Linked DNA regions of Schizosaccharomyces pombe. Changing the gene in region 1 together with any one later gene gives a genetic interaction. Each region holds a gene or a part of one and is shown in the gene's direction. Other genes may lie near its edges.

Evidence for each region.
Region 2: of SPOM_SPAC26H5.07C (region 1) and sip1, a mutation in one rescues a mutant of the other (synthetic rescue), as found in Schizosaccharomyces pombe (one large-scale study listed by BioGRID).
Region 3: mutations in SPOM_SPAC26H5.07C (region 1) and ymr1 together harm fitness more than expected from each alone (negative genetic interaction), as found in Schizosaccharomyces pombe (one large-scale study listed by BioGRID).

The regions. Positions count from the first base shown.
Region 1 is NC_003424.3:4,129,144-4,140,309, reverse strand, and holds SPOM_SPAC26H5.07C (seven transmembrane receptor protein), read left to right. Parts: upstream 1-6,829; 5' UTR 6,830-6,846; coding exon 6,847-6,933; exon of another isoform or gene 6,934-7,010; coding exon 7,011-7,083; exon of another isoform or gene 7,084-7,306; intron 7,307-7,386; coding exon 7,387-8,744; 3' UTR 8,745-8,904; downstream 8,905-11,166. Other genes in the region: SPOM_SPAC26H5.09C (gfo/idh/mocA family oxidoreductase), read left to right, coding at 1,628-2,737; glucan beta-glucosidase Bgl2, read left to right, coding at 4,723-5,688; shelterin complex subunit Pot1, read right to left, coding at 8,996-10,473, 10,546-10,666, 10,713-10,781.
Region 2 is NC_003423.3:1,331,612-1,342,777, forward strand, and holds the start of sip1 (Pof6-interacting protein Sip1 AP-1 accessory protein), read left to right. Parts: upstream 1-4,099; 5' UTR 4,100-4,112; coding exon 4,113-4,359; intron 4,360-4,403; coding exon 4,404-4,482; intron 4,483-4,520; coding exon 4,521-4,569; intron 4,570-4,618; coding exon 4,619-8,071; intron 8,072-8,111; coding exon 8,112-9,327; intron 9,328-9,371; coding exon 9,372-9,531; intron 9,532-9,575; coding exon 9,576-9,726; intron 9,727-9,765; coding exon 9,766-9,967; intron 9,968-9,990; exon of another isoform or gene 9,991-10,007; coding exon 10,008-10,210; 3' UTR 10,211-10,431; coding exon of another isoform or gene 10,432-11,166. Other genes in the region: gpi13 (pig-O family ethanolamine phosphate transferase), read left to right, coding at 1-2,211; SPOM_SPBC27B12.07 (uncharacterized protein), read left to right, coding at 2,501-2,884, 2,996-3,320, 3,388-3,551; flx1 (FAD transporter), read right to left, coding at 10,432-11,166.
Region 3 is NC_003424.3:2,482,227-2,493,392, reverse strand, and holds ymr1 (myotubularin family phosphatidylinositol-3-phosphatase), read left to right. Parts: upstream 1-8,476; 5' UTR 8,477-8,646; coding exon 8,647-8,670; intron 8,671-8,726; coding exon 8,727-9,302; intron 9,303-9,347; coding exon 9,348-10,427; 3' UTR 10,428-10,985; downstream 10,986-11,166. Other genes in the region: guanyl-nucleotide exchange factor Sec73, read right to left, coding at 1-2,530; ltc2 (BAR and PH domain-containing protein), read left to right, coding at 4,456-7,757, 7,856-8,195.

The DNA.
Region 1 (11,166 bases):
AACTTGATAACAATGATCATTACTTAAAAAATTTGAAAGAGAAGACAAAATAAAATAAATAAAAAATGCGACAAGCTCTAGTCCTTCTTACCAATCTAAACCGATGGAAATGACGGTGTGAGACATGGAACCATACTAAAAATACGAGATAACCTTATCAACATATCTTAGGCCGAAATGGGAACAAAGAATGTAATCAAAAGGTAAAAAAAAAAAAAATTGGGATGGCGGTGGAAAGGCGAGGAAAAAAAGAAACAATAAGAGTGTGCAGAGTAAGAGAGGAAAATATTTAAAAAAAAAAAAAAAAACTTAAGTAGGTAGGAAATCAAATGAAAAAATGAATTGATTATAAATAAAAATAAAGAAAAGCTTGAAGAAAGAAAAATAATAAAAATAAATAAAAATAAAGCGATGCGCTTTCTCCCTATCCCCACAAAGTTCTTCTTAATTAATGTGCAAGGGATTTTAGTGCATCTAGTCTGACAGCGATCGCGCGGAAATGGAAGCCAGACCAAACCAAACAAACCCATAGTATTTTCTTATAGAGGCAAAAGCAATAAGAACGGCAGGCACATAATGGAAGTGGCCGGTTCTAGAAACAAGTGATTGGGAAGCAGACAAAAGCGAGCAAAAGTCAAGCCGGAGAGAGATGAGGGAAAGAGATGGCATGGATTCAAACGCTAGAAAACTTTTTAATTTAAAACATTCATCCAAACGTGGTTCAACAAATTTATCCAAGCGTAATGAGATTGAAGAAGGATTTCCAAGTAATATCAACATTCATATTATCATTTAGTCCCAGCAAGTTAAATTTGTTTACAATTTCCCTTGACATACAAGCACATACTCTCTCTCTCTCTCCATCGGCTACTAGCATAGCACAGTATAGCATACACAACCTAATATCACATAGTAGTACATAGCACAACACAACATACTAAAGCATAGTGTCCTTTAGTTCCCTTTTACGTGCTGAAACGTTCCCCCTATCTGCATGGTAAACTCATCCTGCTTATACTAATAAACGTCATTCATTACATAGCTGCATCTTAGCTCAAGTTGCACCTTTCTTCGTGGTACCCGATGGGCCCCGCTTTAACACACGTTGTACGAGGTTGAAACAACGAGATGGAAAAAGGTTGTGTGTTGATTGCTTACGTGGGCGAATGGCGGTGTAGACTATTTAATCGATAACGGGCGCGGGTCGCATCGAATTTGCAAAGAACCAACTAGCTAGGTTGACATTAGAATCCATTGTGGTCCATAGGAAACAAGCTTAACAAGCGGGCCGACTGTATTTACATTATATTTTATTCATTTTTCAAGCAAGGTATGTAGTAAGCTGGCGAGTACAAGTGCAAGTGCAAGCGCGGGTGCGATTGCGATTGCGGAATAGAGATGGTTCAGGAAATACACATCATGATTGAGTTGAGTTGCAATGCGTTACTTGACATCGCATGGAGCGCTTGTGATGCCTTAATATTGTGCGCGCGCTCTTTCTATCCACCTTTGGTTCCTCTTCTACCTTGCCCTTGCCCTTGCCCTTCCCTGTGGCTGTCTTGTCGCATCTTTACTAACATTCCTCTTGTAGAAACATTACTTTTGATTCCCCTCCCTACTACTCTCAATGGCGCCTATTAAAACTGCCGTTCTCGGTACTGGCATGTCTGCCTTTATCTTCCACTATCCCTTCTTAAAGGCGCTACCCAACCATTTCGAGGTTTATGCTGCTTGGGAGCGCCGTGCTACCAGCACCGAATCGAAAGCCCGCGCTGCCTTTCCAAACGTAAAGGTGTACACCAAACTCGACGAGCTCTTGGCTGACTCCAACATCGAATTAGTCGTCATTTCACTCCCTCCCAACGTCCACTACGAGGTCGTTTCTCAAGCGCTCAATGCCGGTAAGCATGTGTTGTGTGAAAAACCTTTCACTCCCACCTACGGCGAGGCCAAGGAGCTGTTCGATCTCGCCAAGTCCAAAAACCTCATGTTGACCGTGTATCAAAATCGTCGTTTCGATGGTGATTTCTTGACGGCAAAGGAATGCATCGAAAATGGTCGTTTGGGCGAAGTTGTGCAATTCGAGTCGCATATCGATCGCTTTCGCCTTTTCCGTAAAGGTAATTGGAAGGATGTTCCTAATCCCGGCTGTGGTTTGGTGTATGACTTGGGCTCTCATTTGATCGATCAGGCCATCACCTTGTTTGGCACTCCCCATTCCGTAACGGCAAAGCTCGAATCACAACGTCAGATCCCACCTTTGGAGGTGGAGGATTGCTTCCGCATCGTTCTCCACTATCTGCCCCAAGAAGGAAGACTTCCTCTTGACGTTATTGTGTGCTCCTCCAGCATTTCTTGTGGTTTGGACATGCGTTATATTATCAAGGGTACGCGCGGTAGCTTTTTGAAGTTTGGCATTGATCCCCAAGAGTCCCAATTGAACGAAGGAATGTCTCCCATGGATCCAGGTTATGGTGTCGATTCCTCCCATCATTATGCAACCCTTTGGACCCTACCTCCCGACATCGATGTCAGACACCCCCCAAAACCTACGAAGAGCACTTTAATGACCATTGCCGGTGATTATCGTCGATTCTATTTGGAGGTGCATGAAGCCTTGGTCACGAAGACCTTTGAAACTTCGGTGAAGCCTCATCAAGTTTTGTTGGTAGAGAAGATCATTGAGGCTGCTTACAAGAGTTCCCAATCCTCTACTTCCATCCCATTGTCCGAGTAGGTCTCATGGTTTTGAACCTGCGCGTCTTTCCAAATTCTTCTTTTTTTCTTCCTTCCAGACAGTTTATGTTTTTACGTTTTCTATGACTTTTCAGTAAGCATTGTTTTTGTTGTTTTATGTTTGGTACTGTAACCTTCGACATACTATATCTGATGACGAACCGATGCAAACAGATAGAACTGGTAATTAACCACACAAGTAAGTATATAATTTCTATCTGCGCATGTAAATATGCAAGCTATATACATACGTCTATCTATATCTTAGTATACCTATAAATATAAATATATATTATGTTTTCATCAGCAACAGATTTGGGATGGTATGTATATATGCGCGTATAATAAATAGGGATTTTGTATAGGCAGGTAGGAATAGAAGGAAGAAAGATACAACATATTAAATACATATACTAAAAAAAGTCAACTTCTATACTAAGAAAAAAATCATTCACAATATGACACATAGGGAAAATAACAAAATAAATAAAATATTAAGTTTCTTAAAAAGTAAAATTCATTTCTTCGTATTTTACAAAGACCAACAAAACAAAACACTGTTTTTTTTTTTTATTTTTTTAAGCAGAACACATCTCCATAAAAACAAGCATCTTTTTATTTACTCTGTTCCTTAATTCGGTTATATAATACTATTTCATACACAGGCCAAACCAAATTCGTTGATTCTCCCTTCTTTCAATCTTTTCTCCCAGTTGTTTACGCTATTGTTACCCTTTACTCGTATTCCATTCATGTGGCAAGAAAAGAATCCTAATTCCGCTGACGGATTTAAAAAGAAATTTTTTCGGACCGCTACGAATTCTTATTTGAGCGGAAGTGTGTTTAGTGAAATTTTTTACAAGGAAAGATTCTTTCACTAAATAAGTAAGAAAATGAGTTTTAACTAACTTTATTGAATACAAATCAATCATACATTAAATATCATTTAAATTAGAAATTCTGTGATGAATCAAAAAATCCTTTAAATGTACAGCGCATTTCATTTTTACATCGATAGATCATCAAAATACCATATTCCAAAAAAATAAAGATTCTTCCCTCGTAAAAAGGTCAAGAACATGAATCCATGCACTCGGCTAAAAATAAAAACAAAACAGAATAAAGATATATGTTGGATAAGAAACGAATGGATTCAATAATGCGGCTAGAATACTGTGTTGGAACTTTTGAGAAATTTCCTCAAATTAATATAAAAATTAATTAAAAAAATTTAGGAAAAAATACAAAAAATAGTAGAAGCTTTAGAAAACAATTCAAAAAATTATTTCAAATAAACAATCTTATTTGTTTATTGAACCCCACCAATTTGAACATATAAACCTTTGATTTGGTTTCTAAAAAATTCCAAAAAATTTTAATTAGAAAGGACAACTCAAGTGATGAAATCTTGAGATATGGCTTGTCGATCGCATAGAAAACGTTTGAACATTCGTTTATTTCATGTATTTTCAACATTTTTAATGAAACAATGTACTCATGATTCGAGGCTTAGTGAACCGAATGTTCAATAACCTCATTTACCCACTTTTTCCCTTCCGACATACTCCACCATTGTCGTAAAAAATAGTGAGATTTAACATTGCATTGTAATAGAAATAATATTTAAGAGCCTCTGGCCTGCCCATTGTGGATAGTGAGCAGGAGTTTACATTGGTTAAAATTTTTTTTTTCCTTTTTCAGTCGCATTTATTTTATTTTCTTTTCTTTTGTTTTTCCCAACATAAAGGGTCATTCCACTCTTTTCTTTCTCGCTTTAAAACATTCTTCGTTTAAACAACAATCCACTCAATTCAACGTTTCTACTATAGTTTTTGGATTCGTCTCTGAATTTAATAGGTGTTAAAAGTTTCTTCTCTATCTCAAGTTTTCTTTTTTATCTTTTAAACCGTTTTCGATCAAATTTTTTTTATTCTACTTTTACTTCATTTTTTAACTCAATTGTCTTATTCTTTTTCATCACCAAAAATGCAATTCCTTTCGTCTTTTGTGTTTGCCGCTTTGGCTTTGTTGCCTCTTTCTGCTATGGCTGTTGATGAAGCTGCTTCCGAAATCGCTTCTTCCACCAAGCCTGCCTCTACCAATGGCACTCTCAGCTTCTGCTTAGGCGTGAAGCATGCTGATGGCACCTGCAAGTATACGGACGATTACTTGGCTGATTTTGAGGTCCTTGCTCCTTACACCAACATGATTCGTACCTATGCCACTAGTGATTGTAACACTCTCGAGTACTTATTACCCGCACTTGCTCAGTCGCCTTACAACTTTTCTGCCATCCTCGGTGTTTGGCCCACTGACGACGCTCATTACGATTTGGAAAAGCAAGCTCTTATGCAGTATTTGCCTCAGTATGGTGTTGATCATGTTAGAGCTATAACAGTTGGCTCTGAAGTCTTGTACAGGAATGATCTACCTGCTGACGTCCTTGCCGAACGCATTTACGACGTCCGTGGCCTTGTTCAACAAAAGCTCGGCTTCGATGTTCCCGTTGGTACTGCGGATAGTTGGAACTTGTGGGCTGGTGGTAGCGGTGATGTTGTTATTACTGCCAGTGACTTTATCATGTCGAATGACTTCCCTTACTGGCAAGGTCAAAACACCAGTAACATGACCAACACCTTCATCTCCGATACTTTGGCTGCTTTAGAGCGCGTCCAATCCGTCAAGGGTACCAACAACGTTACCTTTTGGGTTGGTGAGACTGGTTGGCCTACTGATGGTCCTTCTTATGGAGAGGCTGATGCCACGGTTGATATTGCTAGTGAATTCTTCCAAGAGGCCTTGTGTAACATACGTCGTAAGGGCATTGATATCTTCTTTTTCGAGGCATTTGACGAGGACTGGAAGGGTGACTCCTCTTCCGTTGAACCCTACTTTGGAGCCATGTACAGCAACCGCACTCTCAAGTACAATTTGAATTGCACCTCTGAGTAAACAATTGAATAGTTATATTCAACTTTGAGCGTATCTTTTCAACGTTGGATTTTTATACTTCATGTGTATGCTTTTGCCATACTTGCTTGATTGATTATTGCCTTTTTAACATTTTAATTGCTCTTTCGCCTTCTCCGTCAACATAGAAAATACCAAAAACAAACAAACAAACTTTTACTATTTTAAAATTTTCCTAATTAGGAATTTATTAAAAAATATCCAAATTACTCAAACTCTACTGCATTTTCATTATCTACATGTCATTTTGCATTTTCAGGCATATTACTTAAACTTTTCCATAAATCTTTGTTATATAAAACAAACGAATATCCATTTTTCTCAATTCTCTACACCGCAATTGCTGAGTTTGTTTATACATTAAGAAACAAAAATTATTGTAGCACTTATTGCTTTTAATATTTGTAAGCCATTTCATCTTCAAGACTTTGAGATATCATGGAATGTGATACTGAGGTTTTTTGAAGTGTTTAAAGGGTGACTTGTACTTAGATTTCTTTAGCTTCGTTATCAGATTATCTTTGGTTTTGCGTGTATAACAGAAGTCACCAAACCAAGTAAACAATGATTTGGTTTGCTCAATTACTAGCATTTTAAACAGCTTATCAATGTCTGGTAAGAAAAACGAGAAGAAAAAACAGTATTTAGTTAATAGCGTTTCATGATCTCAGCGGACGATGATCATTTTCTTTTTTTAATCTATATTTCGCTAGAGCATACGTCTGTCCTCCAATTTTCACTTAAACAATATAGATTTGGCAGTGTTACTAGAAATACCATTCTTCAGTGCTTTATAATTCTTCATTTTTTTGAAATTGAGTTTATTTACTAATATAATATGCTTATCTAACGTACCGCATATAATCTGAAAAAGGCGTGTCTCTCCTTATACAATAGCGTGTTATTCTGGAAACAAATAAAGAATACATGCTTTATTATAGAAGTTATTCTCCTTAAATAAACTAGTTTTTCTTTTAATTTGCATTTTTGCAAGCTTTGCCGCTTCTTTTATTATATAGTGACTTAACTAGTTCCGCTCACTAAAAGTATAGCAAGATTTAATGTGTCGCTAAACGAGCAGCGCCTTTCGTACCCCTTACGCAGTTGATCTGAACAACCGAACAAGAACCAAGCTCCAAAATGGCGATTTTAAAGTCGGCTCTTGTAGGGTTTATATGCTTTTTGCATTTCTTCATTGTAAATGCTTCCGATAATAAAAGTCTTTTGGTACGTGGATTATAGTGGTTGATAGTCGGAATCCAGAGTAGAATATTGGACGCTAACTAATTGCAATAATTTTGTAGACTGAGGATATTATGGCATCTCAAGTCTGTAATGGAATGTTTGCCAAAAAAGGAAAAACATCAGAGATTACTCGTATGTGAATTTTATATAGGCTTTCATAGTTGCTTGAGGAATCGGGAATTTTTTGGCGACGGAAATCAACATTACGAGCCTTTTATCGTGTTTTGACACTAAGAGTTATGCTGTTTCTTCATCTTTTCTTTGAATATGTTTCAGTTACTAGCGATGGGAAATTGATCGTTGCTTAATCTTTTCAGAGTTTTGCAGATCTTTATCTATATCGTTTTGTCGAAATCTTGACTGTATTTCTTAAGCACCTTTTTATGTTAATCTTTTTTACTATTTGTTAAGTTTTGTTACTAACTTTGAACATAGTGAAAATCGATTCTTATACATCTGACTTTGGCGGCGCCATTCGTTTGCTAATTTTTAACTGGAAAGATGTTAATGCCATCGGCATGGAAGACGATGATGGCGAGAAGCATTATATATGTAACTACGAAGACATTGAAGCCGGTGTTTGCAAGGACGATGATTATGGTCTTTACTTGATTAACCAAACCGCTCCCCACGATTCTATTTACTCAGCCGCCGTAGACGCTGAATCCATGGTTAGTCCCCTTAAATATCCGGTTGAGCAATCTGGTCTATATTGCGTCTTTACCGCACCCCTTGAAGGCTCCAGCGAGGCTTACAAAATCACCGTAACCTGGGAAAACTATTTTGGCAATTTGGATGCTACTGATTATCCTCATTTGTTTTTAAATCCCATTCTTTTGGCGATCAATTGTTTAATTGGAATTTGGTGGTCTTTTATTATGTTCCGCTATAGGCATGATCTCCTTCAAGTTCAAAAGTATATTTCAGGTGTTGTTGCTCTTTCTATTGTTTGCACTATGGTCTCTACAGGTTATTTCTATTTCGCGAATAGCAAAGGTTACACTACAGGTAGTAAAGTTTTTGCTTTCTTTTTGTCGTTAGCTCAATCCGCTCGTCAATCCTATTTCGGATTTTTGCTGTTAATTGTTTCACTGGGTTACTCTATTGTTGTTCCTAGTTTGGGAAGTCTTCTTCGTAAGTGTCAAATTCTTGCTGGTTTGCAGTTCGTTTCTTCATGCTTTTTCTTGTCATCTTTGTTCATTAGCCCATCTAATAAAGAGTCTTTGGTCATTTTGTTTGCCGCTCCTGTCTTTTTAATCACCCTCTTCGCTATGTTCCTTTGGATTGTATTGGCTTTAAATAATACAATTCGTGATCTCCGTATTCGTAAGCAAACTGTTAAGGCTCAGATGTATACTCGTCTTTGGATTGTTATATGTTTTGGCATTGTCGCTTATGCTTCGATTGTCGCAGCCAATGCCATTTTGATTGGTATCTACGGTCAAATGAACTATTACTTAAAATACTGGAAACTTCTTTGGTTCCTTAATTACGGATACACTGATATTCTTGTTTTGATCTTGATGCTTACCATTTTGTACTTGTGGCGTCCTACCGAGAATAACCGTCGTTTCGCAATGAGTGAGCAAGTTGCTCAAGATGTAGATGAGTTTGAGATGACTTCCTCTCTCTCAAATGATAGTTTGCATCTGCATCATGAGCGTCCTACATCTCCAGCCAACCCTCATATTATTCATGGCAGTGCCGATGAGCATCAAGCTCTATTCGCTGTTGACGATGAAAGTGATGATGATGCCTCAACACTTGCAACTTCTAAGCAAAAGCCTGCTTAGATGTAACCACCATACATCAAACCAATCCTTATTATTTTTGTAATTAATTTCTAAGATTATTTCGAAGTTGATGTTATATAAAGTCTAAGCAATTAGATATTTCACGTTTCCCCTCTGTGTTTTTCCTTAGTACAAATTCGCTCGCTTTATAAAATTCTCCCAATATAGAGCTTTCCTTAAATTTAAATATTGTTTTTCTTATGTTTCTTTTCCGTAAGCATTTCATTATTGTAAGTTTTGTATCACAATAGTCAAACAATTTTCGTGCCAAATCCTCGCCAGCGCTTCTGAAGAAAAGTCAAAGATTGATGGTCTTTGGTGTTCCCAATTACAGGAATGTATTCTTTGACATATATATCAAACCATGGTGTTTCAACATCTTCAGCAGCCAGAGTTGGCGATTCACCCTTCGATATGTGATGCTGAATGCGTTCTTCCAAGTTCCCCCAAATCAGAAATAATCTTTCTTTAAGCTGAAGAGTCATCTGCGGGTGATCAGCTAAATTGCAAGGTTGGATTTTTGAGCTGTTAATAAGTTCCGCAGCGTCAGAATCAAAAAATATGACCGGTAAAGTCACATTCGATACATCCCTTACGAGCAAGGCAAACATCCAAACATACGAAGATGGTGGTTGAGATAGCACAGCAAACTGCGTCAAACTCTTTGGCCAAAAATCTACCACCTGAACGCGTAGCCTATGTTTCCTCGGTTTGAGAAGATTCTGCAAAGGTGCATGAAGTATGGTAGAAATAGTAGTCAATTTTAAACTAGCAGGTTCATTTATGACATGGGCCGTAATTTCATTAACAGAAGTTTGCTTTAATTCATGGGCGATAAAAGGATTTTCCGATTGTTGGCTTTGACTGAGTTTCTCGATTACTGCTTCTATACCATTTTGGCAATTCTGAACATAAAGCCTTTTACGTGACTTAATTTCGTTTAGTTCGGGTTCTTCCGAATCGACTTTTTCTATACTCATATTATAACGTTTTGCTGAATCCCCATGAAGTATACATTCCAGATAACCAAGGTGATCAATTTTGGTTCGCACATTTTTCATAACCACATAGTCACCTTCTTTAATGTAGTTGCGGCAGTAAAAGTCGTGCTCATCCCATAAAATGCACCTTATAGAAAACCGACCAAAAGGGCCCCTCCATCTCGAGGAGCTAGTATACGGAGACATTGGAAAAAAAAGCTCATTTTCCGTATAATCAGTGACATAAAGAGTAAAGTTTTTATCACTGTACCAAGTTTTAATTACCTGAGCGTAAAAGCTACAACGTTGATGTGGAGTTATTTGTGATAGCAGAGAAAAAGAGACAGAAGGGTAACTCAATCCAGTTTGATTTTGACGAGCAGAAGAGGTACTCAATAATTCGCCATTTTTATGTTTATTAGTTTGCTCATCCCAAATTTTATTTAACAACAAGGCGAATTGCTCTTCCTTGTCTCCCGTTTTCATTAAACGAGGCATTGGTTGAGGACAGAGAGTATCTTTGGAATTAGAAGAAAAGTCTGGCCAAAGTGCATATCGAAATTGATCCTTAGACAAACCTTGAGTCCTGTCTCTATAACTTCTTAATGTGATTTGATGAAGCAAAAGCGGTTGCCCCACCTGCTTGATTACAGGCAAATCATTTCCCTGTTTGCTGAACAAGTGTATCTGTAGTCCGATGCTTGATGTATCACATGTTGGATCCCACAAATATACGGTGGTTACCCAATCTAAAAACATGATTATTAGCTCTTGACTGGAAAAATAAAAAGTATAGTTTCCACCATGATAAGCAAGCATACCCTTAGTTCCATGTAGACTTTGGCGACTAGGGGTAAAATCTTTTACTATTCCAAACAAATTGACAATAGTATTCTTCTTTTGTAATTCTTGAGAGCTTCTAATGGACTGAAATGTAAGTTCCTTTTTCATTGTTAGCAAAACAAATATAAATCCATTGATATCTCACTCCAATCTTATATTCTCCAGCATTTAATAACTCATTCAACTGAAGACTGTCAATAACGTCCTCTCCCATGCTTGATCAACGAATGATCCAAATATCCTTTAAGAACAACAAATGAGTTTTAGCCTTTCTCAGAAACCTAAATGGAATTGGTAAAAGCTTTTTAAACCAAGACAACCCCTTGAAAGTGATGAACCTTCAGATTATTCAATAGACTGCGTGAGAGTTACTTGTTCAAGCTTGATCATTCCCCTTCTTCAAATTCCTAGGATGAACTAAGGGTTATTCAGTTTTATTTTACCAATAATGAATTTGTTTCTTTATCAAGCAAAAGAATGACCCACTCCTCAATCTTGAGGTTATGAGTGTTCATGGCTAGCTATTAAATGGATCGCCGTAAAGTCCTTAAGCTGAGCGCAGTTGTAAAACTTTAGACATATCCCAGTTTCTGCTAGGC
Region 2 (11,166 bases), on another chromosome or scaffold:
CTAGGTGATGATACTTGGGACGTATTGTTCCATGATTATTTGAATGAGACACTCTCTCAACCTGCTTTTTCTTTCAATGTACCTGATCTTCATGGAGTAGATAATAAGGTTAATCAATATGTATTCGATTATATAAAAGATGCCAACTTTGATGTCCTAATAGCACACTACTTGGGCGTTGACCACGTTGGTCACCGCTTGGGACCTGATCATCCAACAATGCGAGATAAACTGAATCAAATGGACAGGTGTGTGAAAGAAATGATGGATCTACTGGATGATAGTACATTACTCATTGTCATGGGAGATCATGGTATGGACAACAAAGGAAATCACGGTGGTGATTCATTCGATGAAATTAACTCTGTACTGTGGATGTATAGCAAAAAGCCAACCTTTGGCTATTTGAAACAACCAGGTAAAGTACTAAGTGCAAATCAGGTAGATCTAGTTCCTACCTTAAGTTTGCTCTTAGGAAATCCCATTCCGTATGGCAACCTTGGTACCTTAATTCCAGAACCTTTTTACTACTATGGAGATGAATATTTGTCGAAAGCCCAAAAGATTAATATCGGTCAACTCAATCGCTTCTTTAGCGAGTATGATTTAGATGCTTCTGACTTCCTTTCGTCCTCTGTCCATAAAAATAATAACTCTTATTTAGATCAATACTTTTTAGACTTTGACTATGCAAGAGACGCATTCTCTTACTTTAAAGCAATTTGGGCGGAGTTTAGTCTTTTCCCTATGATCATTGGATTTTTACTTCTTATTATAGGTGGATTTAACTTGGCTTTGTTGATGCAAGATAAGTCGGTGATTTTTAGGATGTCTGCCAATATGGCTCCATCAGTCATGAAATGTTTGCCGGTTTGCTTAATTTTAATTTTGGCAAACAACGAACTTCATTCTCCGTTCCCGGCGGAATTCTATGTATTACTTCCTTCATTTTACATCCTGTTAAATTCCTTTAATCAGAAGTTGATGGAGTACTTTAAAGGTTTTGTCAAGTTGGACTACTTTAGTATTTTTATAACTTTTCTACACGTTTGCAGTTTTGGTTCCAACTCTTTTACAGTATGGGAAGATCGCCTTTGTCACTTCTTGATCATCACTATTGGACTAGTTATGTTTTGCAAATGCTTTTCCGAAATGAGCCCCCTTTTTGCATGCTCTACTTACTCTGCATTGGCATTTATCCTTTTACAGGTAATTTCTTCGTACGTAACTAACTGTCGCGAAGAGCAAGGTGCGTTTTGTGTTAGCACGTACATCTCAACTCCTGATAACAGCCTCAGAACCTTGATTGTTTTGGCGTTAATGGCTCTTTCTTCTATTATATTGCCTCTCATTCTGCAACTTCACTTGCGACGCGTTCTTGGCCTTTCTTTAAAACTTTATCATCTTTCAATCCTCTATTTTTTCGAGTTAATATCTTCAATATTTTGGATTGCTCATCATGTTTTCGCGAATGATGCTTTATTAGAAAAGCAGTATCATCATGTTTTATACTCACTTGCAAATACTTACGTAATTTGCATTCTTGGTGTTTTGATATGGCAATTCTTCTTACTGTCGCGATCCAAGTTTGCTAAAATAAATGTCATCGAAAGATCATATTTCGTTTTTGCATTACTATATTCTTTTCTCTCATTTTTGCAAAGGCCCCTGGGACATCTCTCTTTATTTTCTTGCTTTTTACAAATCCTGCTTCTTATTCAACTTAAACAATGGCAGCCAAGTGTTGGTCACAACTTCTTTTCGGTAACGCTAGGTTTATTGGGATTGTCGCATTTTTTTACAACGGGAAATCAGGCTGCTATATCGTCTCTTGATTGGAATTTTGCATTCATTCATTCAAAATCTGCTGAAAACCAGGCTATAAGCGCTATATTCATGTTTTTGCATACGGTCGGTGCGCCGATACTTACTTGCATTTCGATTCCACTATTTTCATTCGAACCACTTTCCAAGAAAAATAGATTCTTGATAAACTTGTTTCGATTCTCCTTTTCTTTCATTCTTTATAACCTATTGATCTCGACGAGTACTGTCTTCTTTGCTGGATTTTTTCGTCGCCATTTGATGGTTTGGAAAGTGTTTGCACCTCGGTTTATGCTAAGTGGAATATTACTTGTTACTCATCAGCTCTTTGTCCTGATCCAATGCTTCGGAAGTTCTGTTGTCAAATTTCCTGAAGATGCTGAATAACAATAAAGCTTCACTGCCCTCGTTCAATTTGACGTATAATTAGAATTGTAGAAATATTTTCTTTTATATCCTTTAACATTTTAAACCTTATAAGGAAATAATCAAAACCACTTATCAATGCATTTTCATCATTATTATTTTCTATGGGTACACCCATACTACTCCTTTACGCCTTCTGATATGTACATTTAACATTCACCACAATCATCGTACCCAATTTTTAACAAAAATTAATTATGTCTGTTAATAAGTTGCTTAATTTATAATCAAAATTTGGTAGCTTGACAAAATGTTCTCTTTGCTACGAAAAGCTATAGATGTTAATCGATCCCGAATTACCTTGCATGGGATTAAAGTGCATAGTATCAATACTTTTCGTTTAATTCCTTATTCTTTATCCTTAACGAAGCAAATTCGATTTTATGCATCAGAAGGGACAGATGCAGGTGAAATGGAAAAGGGTCTTTCAGTAGTAAATGCCAATCACGAAAATCGTCCTTTCAGAGACCTTGAAGGATATCACTTCAACACATTTACATTTTTGAAAACTTTAATGGATAAAGGATATACAGAAAAAGAGGCCGAGGGTCTTCTCGAAGTCACGAATATGTTTGTTACTGATATGCTGCGACATAGTCATCTCAATTACCTGTCTGAAGCTGATTTTGAAAATGTACGTATGATTTATTAAGCTACAGAATCCTTCCGTCTTTAAATTTATCTTTAATTATAGATTGACGGTTTTTTTTGCTTTCAAATGAACTGTCATAGCTAACTTGTATAGTGCTCCTATTTGTTTCGTACAGCTTTGTCGGAGCTTCGCTCAGAGAAAATAAATATGAGAAAAGATCAAATCAGTTCGTTACGTTCAGGCTTGTTTTCAAACCAAAGGGAAGTAGAAAGTTTGGAACAATTGGTTCACGAGCAGTTAAACAAGCTTAATACCGAAAGCAAAATGGAGTTTGAAAATCGGAAAAATGATACAAAGAATGAAGTCCAGCAATTGAGTGCAAGAATTGTTGAACTACACAATTTATTAGCCGTTTCGTTAGGTAAATTGAGGGCTGAAAATGAGAGGCAGAAATGGGACCAAATAAGAAAAGCAGCAGGTAAGTATATTTATAGTTCAAACTAGGTATTTGAAATTTCATTTATTAATTTCCTTTTCTTTTTCAGGTGTGGTGATGGCTTTTACAGGGTTTTTAGTGCTGGTTATTCCATTTGGACTTGGAGTACGAAGCAGAAAAAAAGAAAAACAAGATGAGCTTGATAATTTAGGTTCATTTAATTTAGATAACAAGCGCGATGATTATACTGATACTAATCTCTCCCATATGTGAGTTATGGCCAGCAAAGCATTTCGAGCTCTTCATTAATATCTGTCCTTTCTTTTTTTTTGTGTTTTCTTCTTTGTTTATGAAAATGTTCAATTAGGTTTTATGGAAATATGCAAATATTAAGTTTTATTAGTACTCCTTCTGATCATGAGACCCCTTGTTCTTATTGTACATGGAAATACCATTATGAATAGCATAATAATTGTTTGCATTGCAGATGCTCATACTAGCGTTGAGCTGTGATTTTTGCCTTCTCAGACAAAATTTTTGTCCATTTCAAAACTAAATCTATAAATGACTTTTCGTTGTTTTATTTAATTTTAAAATTAACGATACTCGGAATGGCTATTGCATTCTAGTAGTCTCCTACAATTTAAAACATCTTTGTGTTCGTGGTTGATAAGTAAAGTGGTTAATTATAATGATAATAATAAATATATTATCTATAGACTATTTGATTATTAATTTATTGTAAATCGTGTAAATGTCGACTGCAGATTTCAGTACCTCGCAACTCAATGTATATAGATTTAGCCTAGGGAAATTGGTTTGGCCGCTCCACATATGTCGTTAGCATCATTGCCGCTCGAAAAGTTGACGAAAGTAGCTGATGTAGATAAGAGGGAGACCATATATATTGATTTACTCAATTACGAAAAACAATTGAGGAATCTGAACAAAAATACTCGCGAGGATTCATTACAAACTAATTTAAATCCCCTACTTTCGTTAATCAAAAAATATGGAAATTTTATTGCTTATCCAACTAGAAAACTTCTTTCTAACTGTATAATTGCACTCTTAAAAGGACGTATGTGAGATTTATGGAAAATGGTATATGTTAACAAGTATTAGTCGAGGGTTATCATCAGCATCGAGTTTTACTTTACTTCGTGGATAGCATTCATGAGAAAAAAGACTATATAGAGATTATGTATGTCTAGAATATTTGAAATATCAACTAACCGGTAGTAACGTTTTATCCGTTCTGACTTCTTGCTTGGAAGAATATGGAAATCAGGTATTACTCTTTTGGATATTTTCTATAAACTTATAATTAACCTTAATAGATCAATCAGCAAGAGACTTTTATAAGATTTTTCTTCAAATATTCGAAAACCAATTTGTCATATGGAGTTCGCTCAATCGCATTAGATGGACTGTCGAAATGCATTGAAACATCTATTCAGTCTACGAATGAAGATTTGATAAAAGAAATATGGAAATGTATTAAATCAAATTTAAACACTTCATCAACGAATGTTCTTTTATCTGCACTTCGTTGCGCTTACTACATTCTGGGCTCTTCACGTCTTCGTAATTCAGAATTGGAATGGTTCAAATCTTTTCTATTTAAAAAATCATCAATTGATAATTCTTTGCTCCATTCTTCTTTAGGAAGATGCTTTTCTGCACTTGCAAGTGCTCAAGCTGACAAATCGATTGAAGCCGCTGCAAACGCAGTACCCTCAACTCCAGCGGATGATGAGAACAATGAGGAAGTAGAAAATCGGTCTACTACTCGCCGTTTTGATGAAACTGAGAGTTTTCGTCACGCCCTACGGATTCTTGTCGAAAATTATCACTCCAAGCATGCAAAGTATGAAAGCTCAAAAGCGGTTCTTGTTTTTGCCGTTAAGCATCTTTTTCTAATGCAACGTCCATCCTTTGTTTCTCTCAACTACACTACTATAGTGGATATTATTCTATTACACCAATCACACTCTACTTCAAAAGAATGGTTGTCTTCGTTGGAGCAATATCATTGTACATACTTGTTTCGCGATGTGATTGGAAGGCGATTTCTCGATCAAAGCTCTGAATTGCAGGGAATTGAAATACTTTTAAAGAGAGTGTTAGAGCCTTATTTAAAAGATCAGTCGAAGATTTCGGAAATTGCTGTTAAGACTGCGATGGCTTCCACCGCTGATATATTAAGCCGATCAAAGGGTTCGGCTACTGCTTTATATAGTCAGTTACTAGATACTACACTACAGATTCTATACTTGGGTAAAGATTCATTGAAGAATGAAGTAGCCTGGTTGCTGCGCTGTTTACTATCCGTTATGCCTTCTCCTTTAATGCCCACTTTGCTTGCTCTTTTTAATAGATTAGAGTTGGAATTTAAGCACCTTCGTTCTAAACCTAAGGAAGTAAGTCCCAAATTGAATGTTGGTATTTTCAATAATCTTACTTTGTCGTTGATGTCGATTTATGTTGCCGCCGAAGAAAATCCTCTATATGTTGCTTCTTCTATATTTTCAAAGTTATTTAACTTCTCTTTGGATTTGATTAAGTCATCATCTAAATTGGATTTATTAGCGGCACAAGCACAAATCAAGACTGGTTGGCGACTATTAAGCGCTTACGTTTCTTTTGGTCCTTCTTTTACTAGAATGCAATTGTCCCAATTGCTAATTTTATGGAAGAATGCCCTTTCCAGAGTACCTTCAAAAATACATTCACAAAATTTCATGGAGACAAATGCAGACATGTTTAATCGGTTTGAAGCGTTACAGTGCTTGCTTTCGTTTTTGGAGTATAACAAGATTTTATTCACACCTGATGTTAGGAAGCGAGTCATTATTTTCCTAAATAACTGCCTTAAATTCTACAAAGCTTTTTCGTTAACCAAAAGGCTTGAAATTACCATGCCAATTCCCGCTTCAGATTATTCTCACTTGGAACTTCGCTCTCTCTTGCTTGCTCGGATTTTCCAATGTTTCTTCGAGTTGTCTCAGTTAAGTGGAATGAGTTTAGATGATCAAGAATTACTATCCACGACTGTGTCTACTATAGCCGAACTTTCTTCTTTACAAGGATATGATACTGCGGACGAAATAGTTCAAGCGAAAGCCTTTACTTCTCCAAGAGTTATACCTGGAATTGGTTCACGATTTTACGCTCAGCCAGAGGAAGAATTTCAAACAACCATGGATGATATACTTCCTTGTTATATTTGCGAGTCATCTTCTGATTCCCTGTCAGTGATTTCGAGATCAAACTCTGCAAAACTTCCTTACGTACCCCCGTCTTTAACTTCTTTAATTGATAACGCGATCCAGTTATTTGCGTCTATGTTTTGTCATCAACCTCCGAAGGTTATGGAGAGCACTCTCGAAATTATGGTAGCGTCTGTGACAAACCTCAAGAGTGGGAGAGATATTTTACGTTACAAGGCAGTAACAGCAAATACTTTATTTTCCATTTATGGATTTCTCTCTGCTTTCGATAACAAAAAAGTTACCTTGCCTGACAAGGTTGTATCCCTTATGATAGAATTGCTCGAAAACTTGACTGCTGTTAACGATCCGAAGTTAATTCCTTACATTTCGAAATCTTATGCGTTTTTGGCATATTTATATCAAAGCAAACCGACGTCCGTTTTGGATACAATAATTAAACGTGCTGCAGAGTCGGGAGATCCAAATTGCAGGGCTGTCTTGATTCTAGCCGTTGGCCATATATTAAAAAAGGTTGGTTCCGGAGTTCCCCAAACTACCCTCATCACCGCTTATCAGCTGCTCAAAGTTTTTAATACTGATTCGAATGACCTTGTTAGAGAGTGTTCTATTCGTGCTTCTTCCGTTTCTCTTGGGTCTATCGCAAAGACCATTCCGAGTGTTTTAACTGCCCAGACACGCATTTTATTGAGCTATATGCTATTGCCAGAATGTGATATTGATGTTCAGCTCTTAAAGAAGAGAAACAGTTTATTTTTCCCGTCCACTCTTTTTGCCAATTACTTGGATTGTTTGATAAATGAGCTTGGACCAAACTTGCGATCCGATTCTTCTACTTCGCATTTCGCATTCGATTTAGCTCACCAATTGCTTTTACTTAGTAGAGATACGGGAGATAACATTATACACGTTTACAAATGTTATCAGCACCTATATCTATTTACACCATTAGAAACCAATTCTGATTTCTTCATTAGGGAGCTTTGTGGTAACATAATTGACCTAAAGCAACCTAAACGTAGGGAAATTTCTATTGAAGTTTTATACCAAATATTGCTTCAAAACCATGAGTTCTCGGAATCATGTTATAAGCGACATTTTGATAGGCTTATTTGGCAATCACTCGACACCACTCCTGACAACAAGCTTTTGAAGAACATACTGTATATCTGGCTAAACGATTACAAAGATTCGGACATACACTCATGGGTAAATATTTTACTTTTTCTTGTCGGCATAAAAAATACTTCGAGTTCTGAAAGATCCAACGAACAAGATATACAAAACAACCTAGATGAAGATACCGTATCTTTGGCTTATGGAACTTCCGAAAACGCAAGTAATCCATTATTCCAGAAGAATTACCGTTGGCAGACGCAGTTTTATGCAGCTACATGCCTTAAAACATGTATCTCTGAAGTGATGGCCGAAAATAAAGAGCCCGCAAAATACTTGATTTCTAGGATATCTGACCTAGTCCGTGCTGCTTTTGTTTTGTCTACTTCAGACAACTTTTACTTGAAGCAGGGGGGTTTTGAACTTTTGGATACTATCATAACGGTAAGGATAATCTAAAGGAAACTCGCTAACAATTTTTTAGGACTTTTCGAATGTTATGGATCCTGACTTTGACGATGTTTCTCTTTTGGACCAATTTCAAGCTCAAATCAGCTCTGCTTTTAGTTCCGCGTTTGTAGATGATTCATCTCCTGAAATAGTAGCCATGTCTCTTAATATAGCTTCCAATTTTATTGGAACTGGACTTCTAAAAACCGAATCGCAAGCAGCTAAAATCCTCAATTTATTGAAAGAAGCGTTGGAATCTAGTTTACCAGAGAGGGCTGGATTTGAGGAAAATCGTCACTTTAAGTATGACTCGAAATATTTTCTTCGTATTGCTACTTTATCAGCTTGGGCTTCTTTGCTGGTACATTCAGCGAATGTGTCATATTTGAAAGAATTTCTTTCCTCTAACATCCGAAGGCTATCTTCGCATTGGATTATGGCTTTAAGAGGATATTCCAGATTGCAATTTGGTCCTAGTTTAGTAAAAGATTTTGTAGCTGATACCTCTTTCACTCGGGTCCAAAGTATAAACCCTAAAATACTTCTCAATATTTATGAGAAATCTTGGCTGAACATCGCAGAGTCATTAACAATATTACTTTCTACTGATGCAAATCTGATTTATGGAATATTAAGTGGAGATGAGCTGTCGCTTTCTGAGGAGGACGTATTCTTCCAAGACAACATAAATTATGCTTCCAACAGGTACTCTTTTAACTTTTTTTTGTTTAGTGTCTGCTTCCAATCTCTCTTAATTCCAAGCACTTTGCAAGGCTTTAGAAATCCAGTTTTCAGAATTATGCGAATTATGACTGAAGTTTTAACTGAAGAATTATGTACCAAGGTTCTTTATGACCATAATGTGTTCCCCGAAGTTGTTGATCTTTTAGTTCGTTTGATTTTGACGGAGGATTGGGAAACGAAGGCTAGTATTGTCATTTTTGTGAAAAAGTTAGCTCTTGCTAACCCGGCACACAATGACTTGAAGTTTTGTGAAACAGATTCTGTAACATCTATGGAGCCTACTGTATCAGAAAGCGTCGAAATGCTTTTTCAATTGGTCAAAATATTGACATTAGCTTTAACGGTTAGAGTGCCGGGCCTACGTTCTGATCCAGCTGAATCAGCTACCAATAAAAAAGCTAGTGAATTTGTTATTTTGTGTTTTAATGCATTTCTTGATGTTTCCAACATTTTCCCCGCTATTGTGCGTGTTGATTTATTTGCGACAGCAATGCATGTTTATGAAGGTAAGTCCTAAAAATAAACGAATAATTTCATGCTAACTGTCTAGTCATTATGGACGATCAACAACTATTAAAAAATTCTAAGCAAGAGTTGTTAGCTGCTCTTAGAAAGTTGTTGAGTACAATGGTTGAGCAAAATGATCACACATGTACAACTTTGATATACACTCTTTTTGAACACCTCCTTAACATCTACAAAGAAACGATGTAAGTTTTGATTGCCACCTGTACTATTACTAACCTTAAAAAAGTAATGATAGTGATAAAAAGGAGAAAAACGAAACTGCTTTTATGAGCATGGTCCTTGTACTTACTCTTGCAGCTCCTATATTAGACAGTGAGCAGCTTGTGGTACACGATTTTTTGGAAGAACTATTCTCTTCCTTGAAGAGCTCAGAAGAGGTTTGTTAGGAATTTTGGAAGGTTTACATTAACATATAGGACTTTGCTTTAAGAACTCGTTGTGTAACATCGCTGATGTTAGTTAACAGTAAACACCCAAGCATGAGCGCTCTTTGCCGTTTCATTATTTACAAATCGGTTACGATGCTACAGAACGGTGAAGTTCTGAAAAGTGGTGATTATGTCACGGAGTTTATACCTGCATTGCTTGATATGCATGTCCATATTCCGGAGGAGAAGAGTAAGTGTATTATTTAATATTATTTTATTCTAACTTTTAGAAAAATCATTTTTAAGCATGTCTATTCCGATAGCTGCACATTTTAGTATCCTCGTCGAGCACGCTGACGCACGAAAAAGAATCGGTGAAAAACTGCTGAAGATTATGGCTATTCAGCCAGATGAGGCCAAAGCAATCATTCAACAACTTTCTCCTAGGCAAAAAAAATGCGTTGAAGAGATCTTAATACAAAATGTTGAGTAATGTTTATACTGCGAATTTTCTTATATTTTTATACCTTTACTATTAATTATAAATAAATAAACACTTTTTTGATGCCCTTGCCTAAAAGAAAATAATATCGCAACCTTAAAGAATGACTGGATTTAAATGTGATACTAGAAACCTAACAGATTTTCCCTCCTTTTCTCTTTCTTAAACATAATACAGATAAATGCCAAACCCAGATGCTTTTTACAAACCGATTATTGAGACTTTGAAGACTGTGTTTTAAAATGCATTCCAACTTGCTCATAAACCAAAAATGTAATGCATGTTTGAGGGACGACTCGAAGTAAGTGCGGTAAAAATCCTTTGTAGAAACCAAGAATTCCTTGCAATCTCCAAGTTTGAAGAACCAAATTCATTATAGAACGGTGTGGAGAACGCATCACTTGTAACCGTGTCCTAATCACCAACAGTGGATACATGTTTACAGCCGCAAAAACTTTAGAAGCTGCTGACATAAATATATAATCTAATGATGTTGGCCGGCGCTGTTTCCAAAGTTTCAATTTTTCGTAAGCCATAAACTGAAGAGCACCTTGGGATACGCCAAGTAATGACGGAGCAAACCCAGCATAACATCCACGTAGCCCTTCATTTTTAATGAGATCGTAAAAACCGAAAAATGGATTGGTATAATTGACTCTCTTTGAAAGAATTCGTGATTTGACGACCCAAATCGGATTGGTTAAAGCTGCAACTATACAGCCAGCAAACCCAGAACTACAAAGTGTTTGCAGCACACTAATTTCACCATTATTAAAAGGAGTCATACTCATGACTACCCTCTTGGAAAAATCGTAAATGCAAAAGTAGGCACCCCAGCTAGCAGCAGATCCAAGAACATTAATACTCAGACCGTGATACAAAGAACGAATAGATCCATTGCTGCCAATGTTGCTTTTAAAAACTTGAAATAATGATTTACTATCTTG
Region 3 (11,166 bases), 1.6 Mb from region 1:
TTTGTAATACCATGAGTTTCTTATTGAACTCAGTAATAGATGTTTCAAGTTGGTCAATACGTGTCTTAATTGTCCGGGCACGTGCAATTTCCATATCCTGTTTCATTTGAGCTTCAATTGCTGCTAATTCTTCCTCCATATACTTTGGATAGCAAGAAAAGTCTCTTTTAGGATGGTAAGAATCACTTACAGGCATTCGCAGACCAGCTGTACGAAGTGTTGAGATGTAGTTAATTTTAGCTACCCATTCTATCATGCTTTCTTCTGTTGGAGCACAAAGAGTCTCTTCAGATCCATCCCGAAATATGACGGTAAAAGAACAATTGCGTACATTCTTCTTATCTCTGTCACAATAGGCAAACGCATTAACAAGCGAATAACTGGTATCGGGGGAAAACTCTTCTAGAGGTGGAGTAAATACAAGCGGAGGAATTTTTGGAAATTCATATTCCATAGCCTCTGTATCTATACCTTGCAACGTGTCAAAACTGCTCGAGGTAGTTGTAAAATTTTTGTAACGCCTTTCATAAGCTTTCTTTTGAGCCATGAGATCTTTAGCCCATACCAAATTACGAAAAAAAAGTATTCTAGAAGCGGTCAACAAAACCAAATGCTCTTTGTATGAATTGTGCCCCACACTTCTTCGCTTCTTTTCACACCGTGGTAAAATGCCCAGCATACTGATACTAAAATCAACTAGTCCCGGGTCAGCATTGTCTGGTAATCCAATAAAATGATTGGAGAATGCCATTGGATGAGATCTTTTAGAAACAAGCTGAATTATCGCAGGGCTGGAAATCAACTTTCTAACGTTCAGCAAAGACGCAATATCTTTGATACCTGGAGATATGAATTTTCCATCATAAGAGAGAGATATTTCAGGCCGTGAAATATTCAATTGATTTTCTAACGTAAATGTGTAAGGAGAAAGCCCTAACCTTTTACGAGATGTGAAATTGTACTTTTCGTTCTTTTCCTTCTCAATGAGAAGCAACTCATCATCCAGGTTGACAAAAGGAGTAAAGGTAATATTGTCATAATAATACTCCATTATCTCCGGAGCTAATTCATCTATGTCACAGAGATTTATGAATTCCTGCTTCGTCATTTTATGCTTATTATTTGAATTAAAAACGTCAGTGTGGAGCATCATCAAAGAAAACACCAGAATGTAACACTGATCTTGGGAACTGAACATCCCAGGGTTACATTCAAAATAGCGCTTAGAGAATGCATTGATGACACGATCAATCTGTTGAGTTTCCTTAGGAAGGTGAGATTTAAGTAAAAATAACCGCAAGCAAAAATCCAACGGCCGATTTTCAAACTCCATTCCCGACATACAAAGGTGCAGAGCTTTGTTCAATGTTACATGATCCTTTTCTGCTAGAACAGGGATCATACGACTATAAGGAACTGTCTCTCTAAGCTTTGAGAGATAACTCTCCGCAGTATCATCTGCTGTGAGCTCCGGAACAGAAGAAAGAAACTTGGTCGGATTAGGCTTAATATCAGAAAATAAAGCCGAATTTTCAATAGTCTGAGCTACGCATTCGTCATCATCCCGGCGCAAAGTTCGAAAACTAAAAATACTAGAACGGTTTTCTCTCAATCTTTCTAAAGTCCTTTGGGTAGGAATCGTAGAACTACGAGGCCGTGACCGAGAGCTTTGTGGCTGTGGTTGTTCAACATCATTAGGAATAGAAGGCGAACGATACAACCGGAGGGAACCCACAGAAGAAGAAGGTGATGGAACGTTAGAAGTCTGATCGCTTTTATCAACTGGCTTAATGTAATCAGAAGATATGGAAAACTGGATAGGAGGTCTTTTTACTACAGGTAAAGAAGCAATGCGTTTCCCCAGGTCGGACATTTTGACACTACTTTTCCGAGTACCATTCTGTAAAATCGTATTATCAGATTCCGCTGACAAATTCTCATTTTGCTGGTTTAGAGGGCCACCAGCTTTATCGAGAGAACCAACTTCAGAAGGAGAACTAGTAGTTGAGTTAACATCGGGATTCCAGGACTTCCTAGACCACTTCGGAAATCGAAAAAATGATCGAGAAGCACGAAGTTTCGCCGAGTTGATACTAGATGGTGATTTCAAAGAAGGATTGGAACCGCTTAGGTCTGTCGAAATAGGAGACGTGACATCTTTTGGAAAATTGGAATCGTTTGAAACGCTTTGACTTGAATACGATGCAACAGGAGAATTTGCTTGCTGCAAATCCGAAGACCAGTTGTGGTTGAAGTAAAACGAGTGCTTGGCTCTTGCGATCGGATAAAAAATATTTTTTTTCTTAGAAGAGGGCGAATTACTCAAGTCGGTCTGTGAATTACTTGTGAAAGATCCGCTTGACTTTAGTTTACTGTTATGCTCATTTAGTTTTTCTGAACGTTTGGACAGATATGTCTGACTAGACTTTTTAAAGAAAGAGGAGAAACTAGAAGCGTTAGGAGAATTTACAGTGGTATCCTTTTCGGATTTATTTGAAGACTCCTGGCTGGAAGGAATTCTGAAGGTCATTTCGCGCCTCGGCGCATGTAAGTTGAAGAAAAAGAAAGACTTAAAAAAGATTGAAGTAAAGAGAGACCTCGAAAATGAAAGGAAGATTCAAAAAGAAATGTAATGTAAACTTAAGTCAGGATCTAAATTTATAACAATTGGAGACAGTAGATAGATTTGTCGACTATACGAGGATAAAACTGACTGTAATAAGGAGAAAGCAACCAACGTATTACCTTTAATGAACAGATATTTTTTCCCGAATAATCAAAAGAAAAATCAATTGAGAAACTACCGAAGCGAACGAACAAGGGAAAAACAATTAGTGATTAATATAATGCATGCAGCATGGAATGAAATGAAATGAATGAAAAGTAATGAACTGGAAGGTATGGAAGATGAAAAATGGTTATGAACAAAGAACGAGAAACTGAAACGAAGATGTAAAAGTGAAACTTCTGTGAGACGGTTCAAATGAATCGAAATTTTTTAAAAAAAAAAGCACAAAAACCAAGTGTGATCTGATTTAGGCAGCGCAGAGCAAACCGAATAAGCAAAGCAACGAAAGTAAAATGAACTCTAGTAATTTGAAACCCTCAATGGAAATACGAACACAAAATTAATGAGCAAAAGTCATGTCCTTGGGTTGATAGCAGGAAATTTAATGAATCGTCAATTGCTAACCAATTCAACTAATTAATTTCCCTAGAATTTTAATAATGAGTACAAGTTTTGGTGCTCCAGAAAAAAGAATTGAAAAGTAAATACTAGTTTTGTTGGTTACAGTAGTGTTATTTGCTCCGTCCACAACATGCCCGTGTCTTTATCGCCCAATGCATACAAACCCGCCCACCGCAAGGTATTCTGCCACACCCTTCCTCGTATGACCAAATCCGACATGGTCTGATAGAAACGTAGATAGCAAATGGCTAGCACGATGTTCCTGATAATCTAATGGGGCAAATGGCACCATAATGTAGTTTATTTTTTTATTTCTAATGTCAATGATTTAGAAAAATTTAGTTCGCTATCGCAAGTGCTTAAGATACACTACTTCAAAATTATAAACATAACAAATATTTTTAACAAGCTCAGCTGAACATGTTTCTAGGTTGCACCCTTTACTCATTATAATAATTTTTTTTTTAAAAATTAATTTTGAAAGCAAATAGCAACCAGATGTGGCAATAAAAAAAGTAACAAGTAATTTACCCACAACAGAAAAATCTAGGTATTTTTTATAATTTTAGAGATGCTTTTGTTTTACTATATACATAATTCCTAACTGTTCATAAAATTTATTTAACCACTTTACCAAATATTTTGTTTACATACCAATTGAAGTACAACCAAACCTGACCATTACAGTTATTGATCGTGCTCAATTTGTATATTGTTTTATAATGACTTAAAAAAGATTAAGTGCAAACATCAAGTATAAATTAAGATACTATGCTCACAAATTAGTGCCACAATTTTTGTAATAAGGCTAACTCATTCTTAGTAAATTTTACTTAAAAAAGAAGAAAACGAAAAATTAAAAGCACTTTTATTTTTCTAATAGTAAATGTATTTATATTTATGATATGTATAAGGATGGAATCATTTCACTTATATATTTTAAGTAAAAATTCCTTAGCTAGCTGAAACATTTTCCTTGTGATTAAATTTCTAACACTCAGTTATTTCGTATTTGTTTACCTTATAATAGAAGTACTTAAATATCGTTATTCTAATATAACGAATTGCTTCATCTTGGTTAAAAAATGCAGCGTCACTCTTAAGTCAAAAACATCAAGTACGCCGCTACAAACATGCCGCATCCGACAGCCGAAAGCGCATATACCGGTTTAAAAATCATCCTTTAGACGAGTGGACATATCGTTCTTAATGCTTTCTTATATGAATTGAAGTTTTTGGAAACTAATAGAAGGAAATGAAAAATCATGGCCGCTCCTGCAAATGCGTCTTCAAAAAAGGATCATGTTATTCCAGTCTTACTGAACGAATGTAGCATTGATTCTCCGTCTTTTAGGGCGAGCATGTATTATCTAGGGAATCAAATCAAAGCGTTTAACGAATGGTCTCATGATTTCTTATGTTGCTGCAACAAGTTTATCGAGTCAATAATGGCGATAGAGCCCATTGTCGCCAGTATGTCGTTGAATGCTATGCCTTCTAATGTTGCTTCAGGATTTTTTGATCCTGATTATGCAACAACCGCTTTGCTTCACGGTCAAGACTTATTTCGGTCGTCATATATGGTGCAACTTCAACAAGCTAAAAATTTACGGAAATTTATTGTTGCTCCATTAGATCTATTTCGAGATTCAAAAGTTAAGCCTTTGCTTCAATTAAATGATCGCTTTAAAGCCGAGCAAGCCAAGTATGATGCGGAAGTCTTAAGGTATTCTTCTCTTGGACATTCAAAAGATTTATCGCAAATGCGGGATGAAGCAAAATCTTTATACGAAGCTCGTAAAAGTTATTTTACAGTTGCTCTACAATACGTAGTTCGAGTTACCTCCTTTCGCTCATCCATTGATTTCATAGTTATTGAAAGCATTTGCAAGTTTTCAATTGAAACGTTTCGTTTGACTGATCGTCTGCACGAGTCCAATAGGCATATAAATGATCAACTAATTCGCTTACTCTCTTACGAAACTAAACTTAAGGAATCTTATCCTTCACTAAAAAGAATAGTATCTAACGTTTTTGATAGAATTGAGAAGGAAATTCTTAAGAGAGTACAGCCACCAACTAATTTAGACGCATATCGTTTCGATCCCCAGCAAATATGTCAAACAAACGCAACTAAACGTCAAGGGTGGTTACTAAGAAATATCAGTTCTAGCAAGGCAGATAACAAAGCAATTTGGAGAAAATACTGGTTTTTTGTCGACAATGGCTATGTCGGATATCTTATTAATGATGCCAATGGTGGTGTTTTTGAGAGCGAAAAAATCGGAGTCCTTCTGTGTAAGTTTTCTGTTTTACCAAGCAATCATCGGAAATTTTGTTTTCAAATAAAAACGAAGTCCGTGAGCTACATTCTGCAAGCCGAAACTCACATGGAAATGCTTGAATGGGGCAGCGTAATAAATAACGCTCGAGAACACTGTATCAATTCCGGGATATCTGCTAACCGAATCTTGTCTCCTACCTTACCATCGTTTTCTGCTAAAGCTACATCAATTATAAATCCACAAGTCAATGGGCGCTCAAACTCTACGGGGAAAATAGGAAAAAATTATCGTCCTCGTCGTACTTATTCGGGACGATTGTTATGTGGTCCAAACAATTATGAAGTTTCAACTATAATGCGATCTCCCACAATTTCAACTGTTCCTCCTCCAAAGTATCTTTCAAATTCCATAAATGGCGCTAAATTCCTTAATCCGCTTGCTCCATGGACCCTAGTCAATGCACCACTGATAACAAATTTGACTCACGAAACGATAACCAGCCTTTTGGACCAGGAAGCCTTTTTTCATGGTAATTCTCCTTGCGCCTTACTGGCAAATTTTTGGGGTTCAGTCAATTACGGCCATGTTTTAGAGCGTCAGAACGTGTACATTGAAGATCTATCAAATCCTTCTTATAAACGTTTAGCTAGAGAAATTCACATTGAAAAACTTCCTTCTGAGCTTAAGTTGAGGAATGCTGAATTTAGAGGTATATTTGGTGAATCGGAAGCATCTACCGTTTTATTTGTATGCCGTGTTTGTAGTAAAAGAGAGGATCAAATACGTATGCCTGGTCGAATGTATTGCACTATGAAAGGGATTTACATATATTACAACATCAATGGATTGGTCCTCATTGAGCATTTCCCCATTTCTAGCATTTTAAACGTAAAACAATTTGCTAGTACTAAATGTGATTATTTTTACATGAATATCCAGAACATTGGGACTGTAAGGTTCCGTCTCTATCTCGATTCTTCGAAAGCTCTAACTGACCGACTTAATGTGTTACTGTGCAATTACATTGCCGATAAACCAAACAGTTCAATACAACTGTTGTCATGTATCAAAAGATTGAATGATGATGTAAAACGCTTTGAAAGGGGTGGTGACGATAATGCTCTCAAGTCTTATGGGGTACAGCCATCTCAAGAAGATCTCCTTATTCGAAGAGGAAGGAGTAGTAGAGCGCTAACTAATTTGATCAATAAGAATGAGAGTAATGATTCATTTATGGAAGACCTCAGGGACTTCAAGATTGCTATGCTTCCGAAAGAGACAGTCCAAGTTGTTCGTTCTCATCATCTGGACGATATTGTATTTGATCGAGTGTACAATGTTTCTACTAAGGCATTGTTTCATATTGTTTTTGGTGATAGAAGCACCGTGTTGTCTGGTGCTTACAATCTTCATGGAGTAGATGATGTCGAATTTTTACCATGGGGAAAAGATCCAAAAACCAATTTGAGTCGTCGATACATCAATTATAAGGTTTATAATTACGACCAAGAAGGTCAATGTCAATCTTACCACTATGAGGATTGCCAAATAATGGACGTCCGCAATGATTATCATTTATACATTATGACATGGCTTCATCACTCTTGGACTTTGCCTTATAGAGATTACTTTAAAATCGTGACAAAAACTTCTATATCTCACCTTAGAAGGGAGAAGTCTAGATTGCTCATATCTGTAGGCCTTGAATGGATCGTTAAACCTTTTGCTATATCAAAGGTTATTGAGGCTGAATGTAGAAAACTGGCTATCAAGTATATAAAAACGGAAGTCAACTTTTTGGAAAAGGCAACTAGAAGAGCAAGAAATCAGCCGCTTATTGCGATAATAAATCAATATGGAAGAGTAGGCGACTACAATGAATCGATGGTTTATCGAAGAAAAATACCTTTTAACTGTGAATTGAAAAACCTGTCAATTATCGATATTATTCGCAATAATTGGTGGCTTTTTCTTCAAGGATTGGCAATTGATCTACTAAAGCTGCCGTGGGCTGTCTTCCACATTTTCCTAAGATATTTATTTTCTCACTCATTTTTGGTTATTATTTTTGCTTGTTCGGTTATCTTGAACCTTTCTCTCATGTTTTGTTTTGGAGCTAAGTACTGGGATGAGCGACAGAATAACAAATTTGTCGGGCAAGTTTTCGATGAGTTTAAAAATATTGAAACTTCTGCTCGTTATGTTTATATGAAGGACGTTGATGATTTATTAGTCGGACTTCCTACTTATTTGCACCCCAACGTCACTTATCCAAGTGAATGGTAAGTTTGTTAGTAGTACCATGTAATTATAAATGTTGATTACATGTACATTATATTATCTTTTTTTTGTTATTATTATTATTCTAATCTTTTTACAGTTTACAATCATTTGCTTTAAAAAGTTCTCCTCAAAAAAGTCACTGGTTACGAAAACGGAATTATATTGCAGAAAAAAGAAAAAAAATATTGGAAAATTTGGCGTCTCTAAACTATTACGAATATATAATTCACGAGGATGCCGTATATCAATACATTCAACAAGAGCTGTTGGGATGTGACAAAGCAAGGGAATTTGATTTATACCCACCCTCGATGCAAAGGTATTGCGATTCTTGCACGCAAGATTGGAGGAACCGCACTTTGTTTTTCGGCAAAGACACTCTAGCTACAAGATTATTGACACTCGAGACTGTGGAAAACGCAGACTACGCTGCATAATTGTTAATGAAACTGTAACTTAATTATTTTTATTGTTATTTTATTATCTTTTTTATATTTAGGGTTTTATGAGTTATTTGATCAAGCACTCGTTTTTTTTTGTCAGATACACAAATTAATAAAGTTGAATTTATTAAACATATATATACCAAAGATAAGTGTAACTCCTCTACATCTTTCAGAATCGTCCTTTCTATTGTTTAATAAACAAGGTAATGATATGTCAAGTTGTAGCCTTGATAACCGCAATGATTACAGCCATGCACTTGGCAGCATTAATCGACAGCACCACCGTAAATAGTTTAAAACCTTCATCTATCTAAGTAGAACGCAATTACATTCTGCGCTAAACACATATTTAATTCTTTGTACTCATATTTTGTCACAGTACTTGATAGTACGAGGGTTGCTTCATTTTATTCAATTGCTTATAAAAAGAAGTTTCCGTGTGATGGAAAACATCAAAGTTGCAAAAGTAAGCATAATGCGATTAGATCTAAAACTTAATTTTATCAAAATATTAACAAATAGGTCGGAAATGTGAAGTTTGTGAACAAAGGAAACGAATTGAACGGAACATTGCATTTGACAGCGTATCATTCTATTTTTTCAATCTCGGAAAATGGGAAGGAAATTTGGACGGCATATTCCATGATAAATAATGTAAAGCTTTGCTCTAACGAAAAATCATTTTGTATACGTATACAATGCCGAGACTTTATGTTCTTTTGTTGGAGGTTTCAAAGCACGGAGGATGCGATGGACGTATACGACACTTTACAGGAATTGATGTCTATTAATTCAATAAATATGCTATACGCATTTTACTATATGCCCTCCGGAGATGAAGAGAAACTGCCATCTTCTTGGAAATCATTTCTACTTGAAAATGAATATAGGCGCATGGGAGTAGGTGATTCCACCCAAGCTGATGGTGCTGGCGGAAATTGGAGGATAACTAAAATTAACGAAAATTACTCTGAGTGCCATTCTTATCCGCAAGCTCTAGCCGTTCCCGCTAGCATTTCTGACAGTGTTATATATTATGGATGCAAATATAGATCTAAAAATCGATTTCCTACCCTTACGTATCTCCATAAAAATTCTGTAAGTTTTACTAACTTTGAGAGGCTTTAATACTAATTTATTTAGTTTTCAATTACGCGGGCCTCTCAACCCCTTGTGGGTATTCGTCAAAATCGAAGTGCACAGGATGAAAAACTTGTTGAAGCTATATTCGCAACATCAATCATTCCTGGAAAAGAAAATCTTATAGTTGATGCGAGGCCTTCTACTAATGCGATGGCTAACATTGCCGTAGGCGCTGGAAGCGAAAACATGGATCACTACCGTTTTGCAAAGAAGATATATCTTGGAATTGATAACATACACGTCATGAGGGATTCTTTAAATAAAATTGTGAATGCTCTTAAAAATACAGATATTAGTGCGGCACCTCCATTGATAGAACTCTTAAACAGATCAAGTTGGCTTAAGCACTTGGCTAACATTTTACAAGGAGCGGTTCTTATTGTTAAAACAGTTCATTTTAGGCATGCCCATGTACTTGTACATTGCTCAGATGGATGGGACAGAACTTCCCAGTTATGTGCTCTACCTCAATTGTGTTTGGATCCTTACTATAGAACAATTGAGGGATTTTTTGCTCTCGTCGAAAAGGATTGGCTTTCCTTCGGGCATAGGTTTGCAGAAAGATGTTGTCATTTACCTGGTAAACGTATTTTTACAATCGACAGCTCATACTCAGAAGAACCACCCCAATCTTCACCAAGTTCGACTTTACAATACACTTTTTCAACAGTACGCTCTGCTTTAAGTGGCTTCTCAATTGACCATTCCGAAAAAATGATGTCTCCGGTCTTTCATCAGTTTTTAGATTGCGTCTGGCAAATTATGGATCAATTTCCTAATTGTTTCGAGTTTAACGAGAGATTTTTACGCCGTCTACTTTACCATCTTTACTCTTGCCAATACGGTTCGTTCCTATACAACTCTGAACGGGAACGAGCTCAAGCATCCGTCAGCACTCATACTCGTTGTATCTGGGACTATTTCCTTTCTCGGAAGGATGAATTCAAGAATCCTAACTATGTACCTTATGATGATGTTATAATGCCTGATCCTTCATCGCTGAGATGGTGGTCAGCTTCTTTTGCTCAACCTGATGAAAACATGAATATCCCATCACCCTCCGAATCTCCGTCTTTATGAAACATTTACTTGAAAATCTTCATTGGACATTTTCCTTCCATTTTTGTCTTCATTGGAAGTTCTTTATTAATTCCTTTTTATGCTCATTTTAGCGCAATTTAGATTGATTGCATCTCTTTCTTTCTCTCTTTTTAGCCTCTCTTTTGCCTAATTCAACTTTTCATCATCGCATGTTGACTCCGATAATCTATCTACATGGACTTTTGCGAGAGACTATGAACGCATGAAGAGGACGACAGAGTCGTTTAATTTACTGATACATATTTTGAAAGTTTACGTCCCAAATCTTCCATTTATTTTGGTGATCCATGCTAAAATTTTTTTATCCCCTTTTATACGATTATCGCTTGGACTACGAATCCCGTTCCTATGATACTTTTATTTTATCAATTCTTCCAATGTTCTTCTACTCTACTCGTATAACGGACCATTCACTGCATTCTCATGCAATCACTTAACAAAGTTTGGTGTAGATATGCTAAGCGATGCTTATATATAGTATGTATGATTGCACATCTCATGATTGGTAGTTTAACAGCTGATCTTAAATGACTGCCCAGTAACGAGTTTTTTCAATATAATAGTGAGTGTTAGTAAGCCTTTCTAATTACTGCAGTAAGAAAGCTTTTGAAATTATAGTATTAGTTTTCATAACTTTAAATTTTTCTTTTCTTTTTTTTTTACTTTATTGTAAGATTCACATCGTACCAGATTTATCTATCTCATTTCGGAGCGTATA